Cricetulus griseus: one gene and its partners. The protein of the gene in region 1 purifies or fractionates together with the protein of each later gene. This does not show direct contact. Links are inferred from orthologs where the notes say so. Each region holds a gene or a part of one and is shown in the gene's direction. Other genes may lie near its edges.

Evidence for each region. The genes of interacting proteins can lie anywhere in the genome.
Region 2: the proteins of Brd8 (region 1) and Jazf1 purify together in Homo sapiens (affinity purification with mass spectrometry; 3 studies listed by BioGRID and IntAct, with this or other methods). This does not show direct contact. The link is inferred for Cricetulus griseus from reciprocal best matches to the Homo sapiens genes BRD8 and JAZF1.
Region 3: the proteins of Brd8 (region 1) and histone H2A.Z purify together in Homo sapiens (affinity purification with mass spectrometry; 4 studies listed by BioGRID and IntAct, with this or other methods). This does not show direct contact. The link is inferred for Cricetulus griseus from reciprocal best matches to the Homo sapiens genes BRD8 and H2AZ1.
Region 4: the proteins of Brd8 (region 1) and Max purify together in Homo sapiens (affinity purification with mass spectrometry; 3 studies listed by BioGRID, with this or other methods). This does not show direct contact. The link is inferred for Cricetulus griseus from reciprocal best matches to the Homo sapiens genes BRD8 and MAX.

Annotation. Positions count from the first base shown.
Region 1 is NC_048595.1:202,869,269-202,872,983, forward strand, and holds part of Brd8 (bromodomain-containing protein 8), read left to right. Parts: intron 1-984; coding exon 985-1,194; intron 1,195-1,553; coding exon 1,554-1,834; intron 1,835-2,150; coding exon 2,151-2,603; intron 2,604-2,878; coding exon 2,879-2,972; intron 2,973-3,169; coding exon 3,170-3,216; intron 3,217-3,715. UniProt on the Homo sapiens protein: May act as a coactivator during transcriptional activation by hormone-activated nuclear receptors (NR). Isoform 2 stimulates transcriptional activation by AR/DHTR, ESR1/NR3A1, RXRA/NR2B1 and THRB/ERBA2.
Region 2 is NC_048601.1:88,255,830-88,260,003, forward strand, and holds the start of Jazf1 (juxtaposed with another zinc finger protein 1), read left to right. Parts: upstream 1-1,225; coding exon 1,226-1,340; intron 1,341-4,174. UniProt on the Homo sapiens protein: Acts as a transcriptional corepressor of orphan nuclear receptor NR2C2. Inhibits expression of the gluconeogenesis enzyme PCK2 through inhibition of NR2C2 activity.
Region 3 is NW_023276806.1:21,775,218-21,779,633, reverse strand, and holds histone H2A.Z, read left to right. Parts: upstream 1-1,467; 5' UTR 1,468-1,621; coding exon 1,622-1,624; intron 1,625-2,099; coding exon 2,100-2,177; intron 2,178-2,487; coding exon 2,488-2,601; intron 2,602-2,964; coding exon 2,965-3,094; intron 3,095-3,354; coding exon 3,355-3,416; 3' UTR 3,417-3,794; downstream 3,795-4,416. UniProt on the Homo sapiens protein: Variant histone H2A which replaces conventional H2A in a subset of nucleosomes. Nucleosomes wrap and compact DNA into chromatin, limiting DNA accessibility to the cellular machineries which require DNA as a template.
Region 4 is NC_048598.1:126,561,390-126,565,739, forward strand, and holds the start of Max (protein max), read left to right. Parts: upstream 1-1,401; 5' UTR 1,402-1,631; coding exon 1,632-1,667; intron 1,668-2,344; coding exon 2,345-2,371; intron 2,372-4,350. UniProt on the Homo sapiens protein: Transcription regulator. Forms a sequence-specific DNA-binding protein complex with MYC or MAD which recognizes the core sequence 5'-CAC[GA]TG-3'. The MYC:MAX complex is a transcriptional activator, whereas the MAD:MAX complex is a repressor.

The DNA of each region.
Region 1 (3,715 bases):
GGGGAAAGAAATTTAGAACTAGATATCTGGGCTTGAATCTCATGTCTTTCATAATATTGATTTTGTGACCTTGGATAGATAACTATTGAGACTTGGTTTCCTTTTTTATTAATGGTGGCAGTATATTAGTGCTTGCAAAATTGTGGAAAGATAATAGAGACTCTAGAGATTAGAAACTAGAGACCTGGTTTGAATCTCAGACCTAGCATACTATTGGTTTTGTGATCTTGGGCAGCTTAACTATATTGAGACTTAGTTTCCTATTTTATTAATGGTGGCATATATACTTCACAGGGATGTGTTAAGGATTAAATGACATAGAAAATGTGAGACAAAAATAGTAATAGCATGTAATTGGGTGGGGTGTGATGGCACACGCCTTTAATCCCAGCATCCTAGGAGGCAGAGGCAGGTGGATCTCGGTGAGTTCAAGGCCAACCTGGTACACGGAAACCCTGTCTCAAAACCCAAAATAAAACACATTGATACTTGATTAAAGATAATTGATTTATAGAGTGCTCAACTTTAGCAGAAGTGGCAGGGTTTTTTTTTCTCACTTTTCTTTTTCTTCCTTTTTTTGTTTTTTTTTTGTTTTTTGTTTTGTTTTTGTTTTTGAGACAGGGTCTTGATATTGAGGTCAGGCTGTCCAGGATTTCACTTTGTAGCCATGGAACTCTTTGTTCCTCAGCCTCTTGCCTGTCATACTAGTCATTTTATTTTATTGTTGCTTATTTTTCCTCAGAGAAAATAACTACTTGTTTTTAATATATACAGTGTATAATTGGGCACTTGGGATCATAGCTTGGAGGAAGATTTTTAGAAGAGGTTAAAGAAAGTAGGGGTGTAGTTATGAGTTTATTCAATACAGGAGTTACTTTCATTCTTTGAAACTATAAACAAAATTCTTGATTAAGTCCTAGAGTGGCTATTGCTTCTTGTTTATGTGCTTTCTTTCCTCATTTTGTGTACCTCTTTGTCTGTTAGGTGCTCCCACTCTTTCCCGGCTTTTAGAAGCTGGTCCTACACAGTTCACCACTCCTCTTCCTTCCTTCACTACTGTTGCCAGTGAGCCTCCAGTTAAACTTGTGCCACCCCCTGTAGAGTCTGTGTCCCAGGCTACCATTGTCATGATGCCTCCGCTGTCAACACCATCCTCTGCTCCGGCTGTCTCCACTCCTGAAAGTGTAGCTCCAGGTTCGTCCCTGACCCACAGGACCAAACTTTAGTTAGAGAAAGTTGACCAAGAGCATTGTCTCCTGTTTAGATGCTTCTCTTCTGTTTTCAATAGGCTTAAATCATCTTTACCCTTAAAAAAGCAAGGGTCAAAGTGGGTGGGTATCTTTTGAGTTGGGTGGGGAAGGTTAAGTGTAGAAATATAAGCAGGCTTGAGAGCGTATTCTCACCTTACTTTGAAAATAAAATGAAGGAGAAGAAAACATGGGCAGAAGTGAGTTTTTTACTTTAGGTGTCTACAGCTCTGGTGTGATATCGGGGTGGTACCACACTTAATAATGGATAAGCTTCTGAGTTGCTTCTTTCTTCTTGTTAATTAGTGAATCAGCCTGACACCTGTGTTCCCCTGGAAGCTGTCGGGGATCCACATACTGTGACTGTTTCCATGGATAGCAGTGAAATCTCGATGATCATTAATTCTATCAAAGAAGAATGTTTCCGGTCAGGGGTAGCAGAGGCTCCTGGTGGATCAAAGGCTCCAAGCATAGATGGGAAGGAAGATTTAGATCTGGCCGAGAAGATGGATATTGCTGTGTCTTACACAGGTGAAGAGTTGGACTTTGAAACAGTTGGAGACATCATTGCCATCATTGAGGACAAGGTAACTATTTAACAAAATACTAAAACGTCTCCCAGGTACTACATAGACCACCCTCTTCTTCCTTTCTTTGATTTGCCTAGTAAGAATTATTTAACTGTACTTTTGCCCATTTTCGTTTTTGTAGTCTGATGTACTACTTACCTTCTCTGCCATCCCACTTGCTTGTTTGCTCAGCACAAGTTTCTATCCACTTGTTGCTTCCACTAAATGGTAAAGGTAGAGAACATAGCTTTAGACTCAGCATCTAATAAAGTACTATGAAATTGGGGGATGTGGGCTTTTTCTGTATTCTCAACAATTTGTGTATTTTGGGCAGGTTGATGATCACCCTGAAGTCCTGGATGTGGCAGCTGTAGAAGCAGCACTGTCATTCTGTGAAGAAAATGATGATCCGCAGTCCCTGCCTGGCCCTTGGGAGCACCCTATCCAGCAGGAGCGGGACAAGCCAGTACCTCTTCCAGCACCAGAGATGACAGTTAAACAAGAGAGGCTAGACTTTGAGGAAGCAGAAAACAAAGGAATTCATGAACTGGTAGACATCAGGGAGTCAGGAGTTGAGATTAAGGTGGAACCTGCAGAGCCAGAGCCAGGCATGTCAGGCTCAGAGATCGTAGCTGGAGCTGGTCCAGTCTCAAGTATGGAGCCACCAGAACTCAGAAGTCAAGACTTAGATGAAGAACCTAGAAGTTGTGCAGCTGGAGAGATTTGTGAAACAGATGGTTCCAATGGGAAAGGCGATGAGATGCCACTTTCATCTGTGAAGACAGAGGTATTTAATATGACTGGGCTGGGAAGAGGGGAAGGAGGGTTATGACTTAGGCAGCTTAGGCCCTTGAATTTCTGAGTCTTGACATATTGCACATACCTAAAGCCACAGGCTGCAACTAGTACTATACTCACCCTATCTTGAAAAGGTGATCGTTAAAATATTAGACAATAGAACTTAGGATTTCTTCTATGGCCTCATTATCATTGGAGAATAAAATTATGGGAGCAATAACAGTGTATTAGTAATTAGAATACTTACTCTTTTTTGATCTTCAGGCATCCCCTGAAAGCATGTTGTCTCCATCACATGGCTCAAATCCTATTGAAGATCCTTTAGAGGCAGAGACGCAACACAAGTTTGAATTGTCAGGTAAGTAAAGGATAGGAACTGTGTATCTAACTTGAAATCTTTTCCTTTGGCTTCTCAGGGTTTGTGGGTTGTGGGTAAGTAGAGGAGTAGGACAGGACAGCATGGAAAGAAAGGAGAGCTGCAGGGAAGGAGCATGGTCCACAGGAAGGGGAAGGCTAAGGTACAAAATCTTCAGGTAGTCTTTCTCTCCTCTGCAGACTCATTGAAAGAAGAATCAGGGACTATTTTTGGAAGCCAGATAAAGGTATTTCAGACTTTTCTTTATTCTTCTTGTCATATGACTAGATTTTCCCACACTACTGTCTTATTAAATGAATTTTAGTAAATTCATATCTTCTGGTAAAACTGGTAGGAAGCTGGATGAGGAAGTAGTAGTAGACAGTAGTAGACAGTCTGGCCTGATGGGAGTACAGTAGCAACATGTGCTTCCCTGTGAGAGCTATAAAGATCACGTAGTTTCTCTGAATATAGTGCACAAAGAAATTTTGATACATCCAGAATGACTCAGAGTGAATAGAGGCACTAGGAAGAACATATGGGGAATCAGGTTACAATTTAGACTATTGAAAGAAAATTATCTGGTTTTGTCTTAGAATTACTAAAGTAATAGTAACAGATTTAAAGCAATATGAGGTGAGCTTGCTCCATCAGCAAAGACATGAAATAAAACGATTTTTGATAACTTTGTACCCAGGGTCAGAGTTCCTCTCAAGAGCAAGGGGAAAGAAGGAACGCCTCTTAGC
Region 2 (4,174 bases), on another chromosome or scaffold:
TAACAATCCTATTATTAGAAATAACACAGTGGTATATATAGTTTAAAAAGAGAGGATTACTTTTTTTTTTTTGGTATAACATACCAGAGGGTAAATGGAATTGTCCTAAGGAAAAATGCTAAATTCAGACTGAATGAATTAATTTTTAAAAACTGCACTCTTGAATCATGTATAATGCTTCCTGGGCATCTGGAAATATGCCCAAGAAAATATATACCTTGTAGGTAAAATATAACTGCAACTGGGGATGGGACCAGAAGGTAACTGATTCTTAAGAGGTTAACTGGTCATCATTATGGTTTAAATGCTCACAAGATGGTGAAGTCTTCACTTTTAAGTGCAAATCGAGTATGCTTTGACTGTTTCTAAACCATTATGCTGCCCTTTCTGCCGTGGAGCAGTACTGTCAGAGCAGCAGTGGGTGTTGTAATTTGGAGTAAAGAAATTATTTGAAATTTTTGTTTTCTCAGAAGAATCAGGGAGAACAAACGTGACACATATGTAAAACACAGTCAAATGCACTTGACAACCAAGCACTCTATTTTGAAATTTAAATAAAGCTAAGATTTTTCTTCTGGCCTAGGGGGAAAACTTCATTAAAATCCATTAATTAGTACAAACCTCCCGAGAATACGGACTTTTAAATTTTTTTTTAAATGAGAAAGTTTAAAGAATAAGGTGCACACAATTACCTTTCCTGGTTCCCTAGTGAATGTCATTGTCACACCTAGACAGGTGGCCAAGTGCAAACAAATGTCCCCGAGAGGGTCCGGTAGGTAACTCCCTGAGCGCTCATCGGAGGGAACCATGTGTAATTAATAGATGTCCATCTATTAAGAATGTAATGCACGCAACCAAGGAGGCTCCCAGCGGACCGCGGGCACCTCCCGCTGCGAAGGGCAGGCCCGGGGAAACGTAAAGTTGGAGGCGGGCGCAGCCAGGTGAGGCCTGGGTCGCGGAGGTTGGGGCCCGCACAGCTGCAGGCGCGCGCGCCTGGTCCCTCCTCCCAGCCGCCGAGTCCTCCCCGCCCCCTCCCCGAGCTCCCGCCGCCTCCCGCTGCCTCCGGGAGGCTGGGCGCTGCGCTCCACCTCGCGCCCCCTCTCCTCCGTCCCGGGCTCGCGCTGCCCTCCCCGCGCCTGCCCCCTCCCCGGCCCCTCCCTCCCTCCCTCCGCCTCCGCGCGCGGCGCTCGCAGAGCCGACTCCGGGGGGCTCTCGATGTAGCACCATGACAGGCATCGCCGCCGCCTCCTTCTTCTCCAACACCTGCCGCTTCGGGGGCTGCGGACTCCACTTCCCCACGCTGGCCGACCTCATCGAGCACATCGAGGACAACCACATCGGTGAGGCCCGGTGGGCGGGCGGGGAGGGGTCGGGCGGCGCGGCGGCGGCGGCGGGCGAGCCTCGGGGGCGCGGGCGGCCGGGCGCCCGAAAGGTGCGGGCGTGGAGGGCCGCGGGGCGCGGGCGGGCGGGCGGGCGGGGGTGGCCGGCCGCAGGGCGAGGCGAGGGCGGGGCGCGGGCCGCGGGGGGGCGGGTGCCGCACGCCGCTTCCGCCCGGCCCGAGCTGTCAGGCTGGCGGGAGCCGGGGAGGGCGCCGCCGCGGCAGCCATTCCGCTTCCTCCCCCGCCTGCGTCCTGTCAGCGCCGGTTGCTAGGTGTGGCGCGGCGGGAGGGGGCCGCGGCGGCGGCAGGCGCGGGGCGCTGCGAGCTCGGAGCGGCGCGGGGCGCGGGGCCCGGCCTGGCGCTGCCGCTGCGGTTCGGACGCCTGCGGGCCGCGCCCATCCCCGTCCGGAGCGCCCCGAGGCCCCGGGCGGCGGAGCGGAGCCCGGGCGGCGAGCGGCGTGGCGCGGCGCGGCGTTGCGGCTAGGCCGGAGGTGCGCCCGGACCCGCGGGGCCTGCGCGGCGCTGGCGCGGGGACGCGGGGAGGGGCGCCCTGCGGGGCCGGCTGGGTCTCCCGGGACCCTGGGACCTTCTGAGTGCTGCGCCTCGCGGAAGTCCTTGCACCACGTTTGCACGCTCATCCCTGCCTCTCTGCGGAGGGAGATGCCAGGTCGGGTGCTTCTGGCTCAGGAGACCCAGCCACCTGCAAAAGGTGTGGCCCTGTGGGTTTGGAAGGTGAAGAGGGCCTCGGGCTGCCTGGGTGAGGAGGCTACCTGTGAATTGCCTTGGGAAGACCACATGAATGCAATCGATTGGGCCATGTGGATGCAGCTCACGTTTCTGCAAAGTTGAGAGAGTAAATCACGACTGCTGTGCATTTATGCACGAATGAAATGACACAGAGCTTTTTGCCCCTTTGCTTTGTAGAATGCTTTCTCCTTGCACACAGTGGGCGCTTAGTGAGCGGGAAGTGCCTGTGTAGAACAGGATTTGATGGGCTGTCCAGAATGGGAACTAAATCGTGAAAATTGTTTGCAAGGTGCCATTGGAAACAGAATTCTGATGAGTAATTGTCAGGCTTTGAAATTTTCAAAGTTTGAAAATATCTCCTTAATAGCTTTTCCCATCTCTTCTGATAAAAGTGAGATAAAAGAGCTAGGCTCTCAAGTTTTGGTGATCTTAAAAGTGTTTTGATAGAGTTGCAAACCTGCTGATTCATATCATAACTGAGTAGTCATAACTAAAAGTGCTTCAAGTATAAAGCAAGTTTTCTCATCACGGCTTAAACTCTAGCGAGTTTCAAAAGAAGAATTCTTGGTTCACTCTTAACTTCTTAAACTAAATGGGGATGATAAATGTAAATAATAGAAATACACAAATATGCATTATGTAAATATGTGTGAATGGTAGCCCCTGACCTATAGAAAACTCATTGATTGTCCCATCCATTTCATCAGTTATATCAGGATAAACAAAAATTCATGTAAGTTGAGTAATTTACCTGGTTGCTTACCTACTTAGACTACTAGCTGATTAAAAGAAAATATAAATATTTAATTAAGTGTTAACATGAATTAAACACAATTATTCTTTTGAATTAACTTGCAATCAGATTATTTAGACTAGCAGTCTCTTTCTTGAGTTGGTAGAGGTTGTCCCAATATTGTTCAGATATCTTTTAGGAGGGTCAAGGGTTTATGAATTTTCTGAAACTAAACTTCTAACGGATGATATCTTACTCCCAAAGGGCTAATATTTTTCTTTTTATAGTGAAAGTATTGAAAACTTAAGTTAGTTGTTTGGCAGAGATAATAATTAATTATACTTGGGAAATAGTTTGATCCAGCAAAGTTACTGAAAATAGATGTTAAAAGAGCAAACACTTGATTCCAAGCACACTGGAACGGCTGTGTGTTTCAGATGAGAAGAGGCCCCTTACCTTTGAAGGGCAGCCAGCCATACAGATAGAGATAGGAATTGATCCCACCAAGAATAATATCTAGGTTAGCTGGTACTGTTTAAATACACTTTGAATGGAGAGGTAAGAGTTAAAATAAGTTCCATGAAAACTCTACATTTTTATTATTTATTGTGATTTCCTTCATACACTTTTGGAGATAATGAGATTTTTTTTTAAATGGTTGCTTTACTGATTTAATGTCTTAATTAGCTAGTGGCCACATTAAAGATTCATGGAAAGACCCAAGATGTGCATGTTATTTTACTTTCATTCAAGGTTCTTATTTAGTCTTGTATATAACCTTGAGAGGGTGAGAGATATGACTCTTTTTGAACTGTTACCATTTAATCGCTAGTCAAAAGCACAGACAGAAATTTCAAAGCCTGTAGTTTTCACTGTAACTACATTAAGTTGTGGATGACAGTCTTCCTTATGAAGGTGTACTTAGCTGCTTTTTTATATGCATGGCGGTTCTGACTGCCTTGTCACCTTCAGAACACATTGGTTTTACCTCGAAGTGCCATCCGCAACTCGTTTTTGCCTCTTCCCATTTTTAGTAAGGAACAAGGGTCTGTGACATCAAAGACAAAAGAAATGTGCTTCCAGAAGCCCTTGTCTTAAGCTGTTTTTCTCCTTAAAGACACTGTACCTGTTCTGATTTGCTTTCTGCTTTTATTCCTTTCGTCTTCCTGTTAGTTCAGCACTGTAGTGAATTCCCATCTCAATGAACAGCCTAAGTATTCTAAGCCAAAGCCTTCTCACACCCACTCACTTACATTGCCTTAGAACACTCACAGCCAGGTAACTGCGAAGTGCTACTCTGGCAGCTCTGCCATCA
Region 3 (4,416 bases), on another chromosome or scaffold:
AGTTCCAATAAGCCATGGCATCAAAACTGCTGGGAGCCTCTCCTCTAGCCATTAATCTCCTGGCACCAGAGAGGGCCTCAAATTTCATAAAACATTTCAAACTGAAGCCCAAATATAGAGTTTATGCTTCAAAATTCTCTTCACATTACTATTCAATTACATAAAAAGTGTAATGTACCGTTGAGCTGGTGATGACTCCATGGGTAAAAGTGCTGTGTAAGCATGCTTGAGTTCCATCCCTGCAACCCATGTACAGGTGGAGAGAGGGAGAGCCCACTCCACAGGTTGTCATCTGATTTCCACAAAGTCTTCATGGCATGTGCACCTGCAACCACCCACACAATAATTTTTCTTATTTAAAGAGTTAAACATTAAGTACTGTAAATATGAAAGATTTAGATCATTATGGTCTCCAAGCAGCTAAGTGATGTACACAGGGATTGTCGACCTGCTAACTGCACGTCTAAGTGACTGGCATCAGGACAGGACCGTGTGTACGTACAGTCCTACTTTTTCTTTTTTAAGCCCGGCATTTGTAATTGATTACATGAACCATCTGTGGCTGCTTGTGAATCATGTTACAGTTACCCCACTGACATTTACCCAACATTTTTCATGTGGCAAAATGTTTAGTGTCGGAAAGCTGACACATAATAGCTTTGATGATTCAATAAATCAACTTTAGACACCAGGCTATAGGCGCATCCCCATTGATGTGGAGTCTCTCTCGGCAAAATTATGGCTGATGATTTCATTATAATAACGCTTCATCCTGAGCTTCCTGTGTGTAGACAAAATTATTTGTTATCACCAAGGTAACTTGACCCCCACGGTTGTTACGAGACAGGATGGGAGGGTGAGGGGGGCGGTCAAAAGAGGTGAGGACCGGAGCGGAGGAAGATGAAAAACAACCTCCGGCGGGGGTAAGAGACGGTCTCTCAGGGAAGTGCTTCAGCAAGTGCGGGCCGAGCCGAGCTCCTCTCACTGGAGGCCTTCGCGCCACCTGTCACAAAGGAGGGGCCCGCGGGGAACCGAGGTCTGCGGGGAGGGGGGGGGGACGGCCAGGCCGACCGGAGGACGCTGCGAGGCCCAGGCTGGACCGGGAGGCGAGCTCACGTGGTCTCCCGCACACCGCGGGAGGACGCCCGCGCGCCCGTCCCCAGCCTCTCAGCCCCGCCCTCCAGGCACGTGACCCCGCGTCCGCTCTCGCGCTCGCCCGCGCTCCCTCCTCGGTGGCGCAGGGCTCTGTGTCTGCCCTCCCGCCGCGGCGCCCTTCCCCTCCCGGTCCCGTCCCGCCGCCTCCCCCACTCTTCCCCCTCCCCACCCCTCGCGCGCCAATCACGGCTCGAGCTCGCGAGCGCCCGCCCCACCACCCTGCTTCGCGCCCTCCCATTGGCCGGAGCCTCAAGGACGCGTCCCGAAGGCGGGCGGCGACCATTGGTGGGCCGAGCCAGCCGAGTTCCCGGATGAGGGAACATTCTGCGGTATAAAGGGCGCGAGGAAGGCGGGAGACGGCGCAGTTTGAATCGCGGTACGACGGAGGAGTGGGCGCCGGGATCTCGCTGTGCGTCCGCCTGGCCTCGTCTCTTGCTCGCTTGTGCGATCTTCAGCACGGTCCGAGATGGTAACGTGAGAGTGACGGCGGGCCGCCGGGCGGGGGGCGGCGGCGGCCGCGAGCTGCGGGCTTGGAGCGGGCGGGGCCGCCGTCGCCGGGGCTTGGGCGAGGCGGCGGCGGCGGGCGGGAGCGTGCGGAGACGGGTCGGGGACGAGCGGAGGGAGGTGTTTGGTTGAGCTCGGAGCTCCGGGAGGGAGGCGACGGTTGGAGGGGGGCGCGCGCGGCGCAGCTGGGAGCCGGCGCGGGGCGCGCGCGGGGCGCGCGGCGGGGGTCGGCGGGCGGGCGGGGAGAGAGGGCGGGGGCGAGCGGCGGCCCGGAGACCCCGGCGGGCCGCGAGCGCGCGCCCGCCGCCCGCCCGCCCGCCTGCTCGCTCGCCCGCCTCCGGGACGCGCGGCCGTGGGGGAGGGGCGCGCCGCTCCGCGCCGCCTTGGTAATTCTATCCTCTCCGTCCCTCCCGGGCTCGCGGGCGTCGGCGGCGCCGCAGGCTGGCGGTAAGGCTGGAAAGGACTCCGGAAAGGCCAAGACAAAGGCGGTTTCCCGCTCGCAGAGAGCCGGCTTGCAGGTAGGCAGCTGCTGCCGCAGACGCAGCCCGGGTGACCCGGCCTTTATCTTTGCACCCCCTGGCTTGTTTGTCGGCGCCTCGCATGGGTGTTCCATCTTTTGCGTGGGTGATGTGTCGCGACTTGGCCTTCGGAGACTGAATGTTGGGGCGGCGGGGGCTGGTGGGGGGGGCGTCGATCGCGTGTGCTAACTGCCCGGGCGCCTTGGTGCACCACCGTCCTTGGCTTTGGCGCGCGCGCGCATCATCTTTCCATCTCTGAATCTCCTCTATCTTTGTGCATTTTTGTTTGTGTGCATAAAAAAAAATCAAGTTCCCTGTGGGCCGTATTCATCGACACCTGAAATCTAGGACAACCAGCCACGGCCGTGTGGGCGCGACCGCCGCTGTGTATAGCGCAGCCATCCTGGAGTACCTCACCGCAGAGGTAAGCGGGAGTGAGTATGCCTGTGATCTGGAAAAGGTTTGGGGGGCGGGGGGGGGAAAGTGGGCGAGAGGGAAGGAGGAAAGTGATGCAAGAAAACTCCCAGGCCCTAAGCGCGGCGCTTAGGCAGAGAGAGGGCGCTAGAGGGAGCTAGTGTTCAGCCAAGGATCCCGCTGAGCCAGAGTTTGCTGCTGTTGCAAAAGCAATTGCGTGCCCCTTCAGTCCTTTGCATCATTTGCATAGTTTTGTCATTCAGGTAGTGGGGGGATGACGACAGTTGGTGGGTTAAACACCACTGACGTTTAGCCAGCTTCCTGGATCTTGACTGAAGGGAATTGGAAAATTGATCAGAATTTTGCCTTTTAGGTACTAGAATTGGCAGGAAATGCATCAAAAGACTTAAAGGTAAAGCGTATTACCCCTCGTCACTTGCAACTTGCTATTCGCGGGGATGAAGAATTGGACTCTCTGATCAAGGCTACAATTGCTGGTGGTGGTATGTTATCACTGACACTCGGTTACTTTCCAATAAGAAAATTCCTACATTTTCATTGCTTCCAGAAGAGGGCATTTAAATATATTTTATAAATCATGGTGGTTTATGGAATTTGGTTTACACAACATCATTCATCATTTTACTTTATGTTTGAATTTTTTTTTAAGACCTTTCAAGTTGTAGATTTACCTGCTTTGATTTCATGTACTGTTTCAAAATGTTTCTACAAAAAGTAGAATTAATCCTTGTCACTTTCCTAGGTGTCATCCCACACATCCACAAATCTCTGATTGGAAAGAAAGGACAACAGAAGACTGTCTAAGGATGCCTGGATTCCTTATTATCTCAGGACTCTAAATATTCTTAACAGCTGTCCAGTGTCGGTGATTCCAGTGGACTGTATCTCTGTGAAAAACACAATTTTGCCTTTTTGTAATTCTATTTGAGCAAGTTGGAGGCTTAATTAGCCTTCCAGCCAACCAAATTTCTGCATTCGAGTCTTAACCATATTTAAGTGTTACTGTGGCTTCAAAGAAGCTATTGATTCTGAAGTAGTGGGTTTTGATTGAGTTGACTGTTTTTAAAAAACTGTTTGGATTTTAATTGTGATGCAGAAGTTATAGTAACAAACATTTGGTTTTGTACAGACATTATTTCCACTCTGGTGGATAAGCTCAATAAAGGTCATATCCCAAACTAGTTTTAAACTTGCTTGATGATTACTACTAGATCTCATTCAGCTCCCCTACCTTCTTTGCTTACTAATCAAACACTTCATCTGTAGACCAACAAGTCATAACCAATTTGTCATAATGAACTAGGCATGCTGTTGGACATTCACAGTAACTGTGAAAGGCACTGTATCACAATTTGGGACAGCTGGACCGGTAGAGACCCCCAGGTATAACATAATAACCTCCACAGAATGAACTTAAGATGTAGAAGTTAAATCATTCTCAGTGACCAGACACTGTTGTCAACTGTGAAATGCTAGTCACAGGGGATGCGTGCTATTTTCATAGACTAGGGTAACATGATGAAAACATTGATACATATCAGGCATGTTCCTTAAGAGCTTGAGAAAACGCATCTGCCCCTTTCACCCTACCGAGACAACATGCGTGCTCCTTTCTGAGGCAAAAATTGGTAACAGGAGGTGGTATGCATGCAACCTCTGCAGATGAGAGAACTGCTTCCTGCTCAAGAGTTACAGCTGACTAGCCAAAAGAGCTGTGTATATTGTACCTGCTGGGCAGCAGTGCCACTGAAAAGGGCAGGGCAGTGGGATGGGTGGGTGGTCCACAACTCTAAATCTGCAGGAC
Region 4 (4,350 bases), on another chromosome or scaffold:
TTTTGTTATACCATCAAGTTTCTGCCTTCAATAGTCAGGGATAAAACCTATTTTCACTTGGGCTGGAGTGATGGCTCAGAGGTTAAGAGCACTGACTGTTTTTCCAGGGGTCCTGAGTTCATTTCCCAGCAACCACAACCATCTGTTGGCTCACAACCATCTGTTATGAGGTCCAGTGCCCTATTCTGATGTGCAGATATACATGGAAGCAGAATGTTGTATACGTAATAAATAAATAGATAGATAGATAGATAAAATGTAAAACAAAACAAAACAAAACAAAACTGTTTTCACTCAGGAATCAGTAACTCATAGCCCAAACCCAAGACTTCATTCATTTTGGAAACCAGTTGTAAATTAACCAGTTTGGTTAATTTCTCTGGTGATAGAAGGTGCCTTTATTATTTTTCTTTCATCAAGGAAGGACCTGGTGCACACTGAAAATGGTGGCAGGGTAGTCCGGTTTTCGCTTCCACAAGCTGTGAGATCTTTGAGGGGCCCTGTTCAGTCGTACCCATCACGGCATGCCTGTTCTGCCACATTAGATAATAAATACTGGTGGGATGTAGTCATGCTTCATACCTCGGTGTATAAATATGACTTTGGTTGGACAGGGAGCCGCACAACTTTCCCGTTTTTATTCTTTCTGCAGTTCTTAATTAAGGTTCTCCCGCACTGGGGCACTCCTTCATCTGCATGGGCTACGACAAACAGTTGGGTTTTATTTACTTCCACCTAAGCGAGATTTTGTAAACATTCAAGCCGAGTAAGGACGGTCCTCTCGGACAAATGAAAGCAAAATTCTTGGGACTAAGTGTACCCCGGCGAGGCAGGTCCTTTAGCTTGTCCTGTATCGCCTCTTAACTCCCCCAAACTAGATCCCGAGGGTCCGCGTGGGCATCCCGACCGCGCCCCCTGGCCAGCAGCAGCTTGATTCCTTCCCGTGAGGGTTACGCCCCAGGGCGCAAGTGGAGCGACTCAAGCGTTAAACAAGACAATGTAAAAGCAGTCTAGCCAAGAAGAGACAGTGTTATTTTGGCAGCTAGCTTCTCCCCCTGAGCCTCCACCCAATCCCTTGGGCCAGGCGCCCAGAGCTCAGACTGTGGCCGGCTCCAGAAGCCCAGCTCCCTCCACGTGTCCTGTCTTCCCAGCAGCCTCTCCGCCGCTTGGGGAGGAAAATCTCCTGACAACTCGCGGTCTGTGGACTACATCTCCCGGGAGGCACCGCGCCACTTCTCGCACCCACCACCGGCGCGCACGCGCCCTGCGCTCTGTCAACAAGCGGGGCTGGTGAAGATTGTGTGCGCTTCCTGATGGGATTTGTAGTTTCTCCGGCGCTCTCCGACCTGCCCATCAGACGCTCGAGGACTACAAGTCTCGGCTCTCCCGGCGCGGAGAGTCCGGTCACGTGTCAGGGGGCCGACCGGGCGTGCGTGCCGCCGTTGATCGGGTGCTGCAGTGAGGTGGTTGTCGCCCGTGTTGTGTGTGTGTGAGTGTGTGTGAGTGAGTGAGTGAGTGAGTGAGTGTGTGCGTGGGGGCACTCGGCTTGTTGTTGTCGGTGACTTCCCCCTTCCCTCCACCCCTCCCCTCCCCGGCCGCCGCTGCAGTGGCCGCTCCCTGGGCCGTAGGAAATGAGCGATAACGATGACATCGAGGTGGAGAGCGACGTGAGTCCCGGGGCTTCTTCCTTTCCGTTCGGGTTGTCAGGCGGGGACAGCGGCCGGGGCCCTCAGCGGGGCGACGGCGGGAGGGGGCCGGGTCGCCGCCGCCTCCGTCCCCTTCCCCCGGGGCCGGGACCGCCTGCGTCGCGCTCCGCGCTCGCTCCCCTCCAGTCCTGTCCGGAGAGGCCTCCTGGGACTGAAGGTGGGAGCAGACACGCGGCCTCTGGGACCCCCACCTCCTCCCGTGGAGGAGGGTGCCGAGGCCTCCCTCTCCACTCTATCCGGCTGGGGATCCCATTATCCGTCCGGATCCTGGGCAAGGAGACCAGCGCTCAGGACCTGCTTCTTGGGTCCACGATCTCCTTTTACCCGTGGACCCGTTGATCCTGGGGGTGAGGGGACTGGGAGTGAGTGCTCTGACTCCCGAGGGGGGTCCGGGGAGAGCAGTGTGCTCCGGACCCCTCTTGTCCGGTTCGGATGCCAGAAAGAGGGGCGGCGCCTGGGACCCCCACCAGGCTGCGGGATCCCGCTGGAGAGAGTGGAGGGGAAAGAGGGAGGGAGGGGTGTCGGGCTGACTCCCCACCCGCTGCTTCCTCCGCCGCCGGCATTTTCTTTCTTATTATTGAATTCGAAGTGTAAAAATAACTTCTATATTTTCTATTTTTTTTTCTCTCTTATTCCAGGAAGAGCAACCGAGGTTTCAATCTGCGGTACGTCTCCTACTCTCCATTTCATTTTCATTTCCGTTCAGTTTTGGTCCTTTTTGGAGTCAGAGAGAAAAAGTGATCGTTCTTTATTTTTTAATATTCTTGTAAACTCTCCTCTTAACCGCTAAGGTGAGGTGGAGTCAGCTGGGGTTGGAGGTGGGGGGGTGGGGGGCTGCAAATCCTATGATTCTGGCTTCTCAGGTGGTAGATCCTAGTGAGTAGGTAGGTGAGTGAGAGAGCGAGCCCCATGCTAAAACTGAGTTGTTCTGGAGTGTTCAGTTAAGGATGCAGCCCAGGCACGTGAGAAGTGAAGGGTAGTGTTATTTCAGAGCAGACTTACAGGTCAGGTTTACTTAGGAGCAAGTAAGCTTTAAGCACTATCTGCACAGTTGTGTGAAGCTGCAAGCACAGTAATAATCGCCTTTAGCCAAAGTCACATGACTGCCACCACAGACTCTTAAAACTAGAAAAGCATGCTATTCTCAACAATAGCAACAACAACAAAATAGAAACAGGGAGGAGCCAGAAGTTAAATCTTGAAAGTGTCACAGCTTCTTGTGGTCTGACTTTCCATTTGAGAAGAAAAAAAAAAAAAAAGGTTGAAAAGTGGCATTGTAGGAGACAGCTACGCTAAAAGGTGTCCGGATGAGTCCATACAGTGTTACCAGTAACTTCTTAGGGTTTTGATGTTAAAGCTTTTTGTAGGTGTCTCTCTGGTGGATTTGGGTTGACACCATGAGCTCTTGTCTTTAGAGTCTGAGACTTAGTAGTAAATGGGTATAGATTAGGGAGAGGGAAGAAGACTGAGAATACATCCAGATCAGAAGAGAGACGACAAGTGTTATATTTGATAGTTGGCAATGGTGAAAAGGGTGTACAGGGAGGGCCATAATGCCTTTGCCTGTGGGGATTAGGTAATGAGGTAGTCAAGGATAGAGGGAGAGGTAAGGACTGGGATACTGAGGAATGCATGCCCCTTGTAGAAAGTCCGAAGCCACCTAGCTCTGGTGCTTGCTGTATGAGAGTGAGCTCAGTGTTGCTAGGTCTTATTGTTATTTCAGGGCTGGGGTTAGACCCTTTACCACTGAGCCACACTCCCTCGATTTTCCTACTTTAAGAGAAATGTTAAAATGCTAGAAACAGATTATTATTTTTCCAGTGTATTTGCGTGTAGTTTTTGGCTATTCTGGGACTTGAACCCAGGGCCCTCGGCATGCCCGGGGCCTGGCTATAACCTCAGCCTACTCAATTGATTTTTTAAGGTTACATTCACTTATTTAATGTGTGTTTGTGATTGTGTGCATGCCATGGCTCACATGTAACGGTCAGAGGACAACTTGAGGGAGTGGGGTTTCTCCTTCCAGCATGTGGGTCTGGGGTTGAACTTAGGATCATCAGGTTTGGCCTCAACAACTTTACCCACGAAGCTATTTGATTTTTAAATGATATGTGGAACAGCTGTTTGGGGGCTTATAGAGAATTAGCTGGATGCAACTAGGCTTGGTTGCCCAGTCCCGTGAACGCCCTTACTCGGGATGCCGAGGTAGGAAGATCAGAAGTTCAGGCCTGTTTTCAGCAATTTATTGAGGCCCAGCCTTAACATACCAAAAAAAAAAAAAAAAAAGAGTCCACGGTTGTATCCAGTTCTGTAGGCCCAGTGCTTAGGAGGCTTTGGCAGAGGGTTGCCCTGGTTTAGAGGCTGGCCTGAGCTACAGAATGAGATTCTGTCTCAAACAAACAAGAGCTCTCTACCTTTGTCTCTCTCTCTCGCTTGGGAATTTAGCTCCTTAGGACACTTAACTTTCAGTAGGCCCTGGTTCATCCCTAGCACTGAAGTTTGCAGGGTGCCACTTTGATAGCTCTGCTGCAGGACTTTAGTAATCACAGGGTAAAAACAGGTTCTTCAGTTGTGCCTCGTCTCCATTAGAGCCTCAGAGATTGCACAGATTGCCTGAGCATTAAGAAAAACTTTATTAAGAACC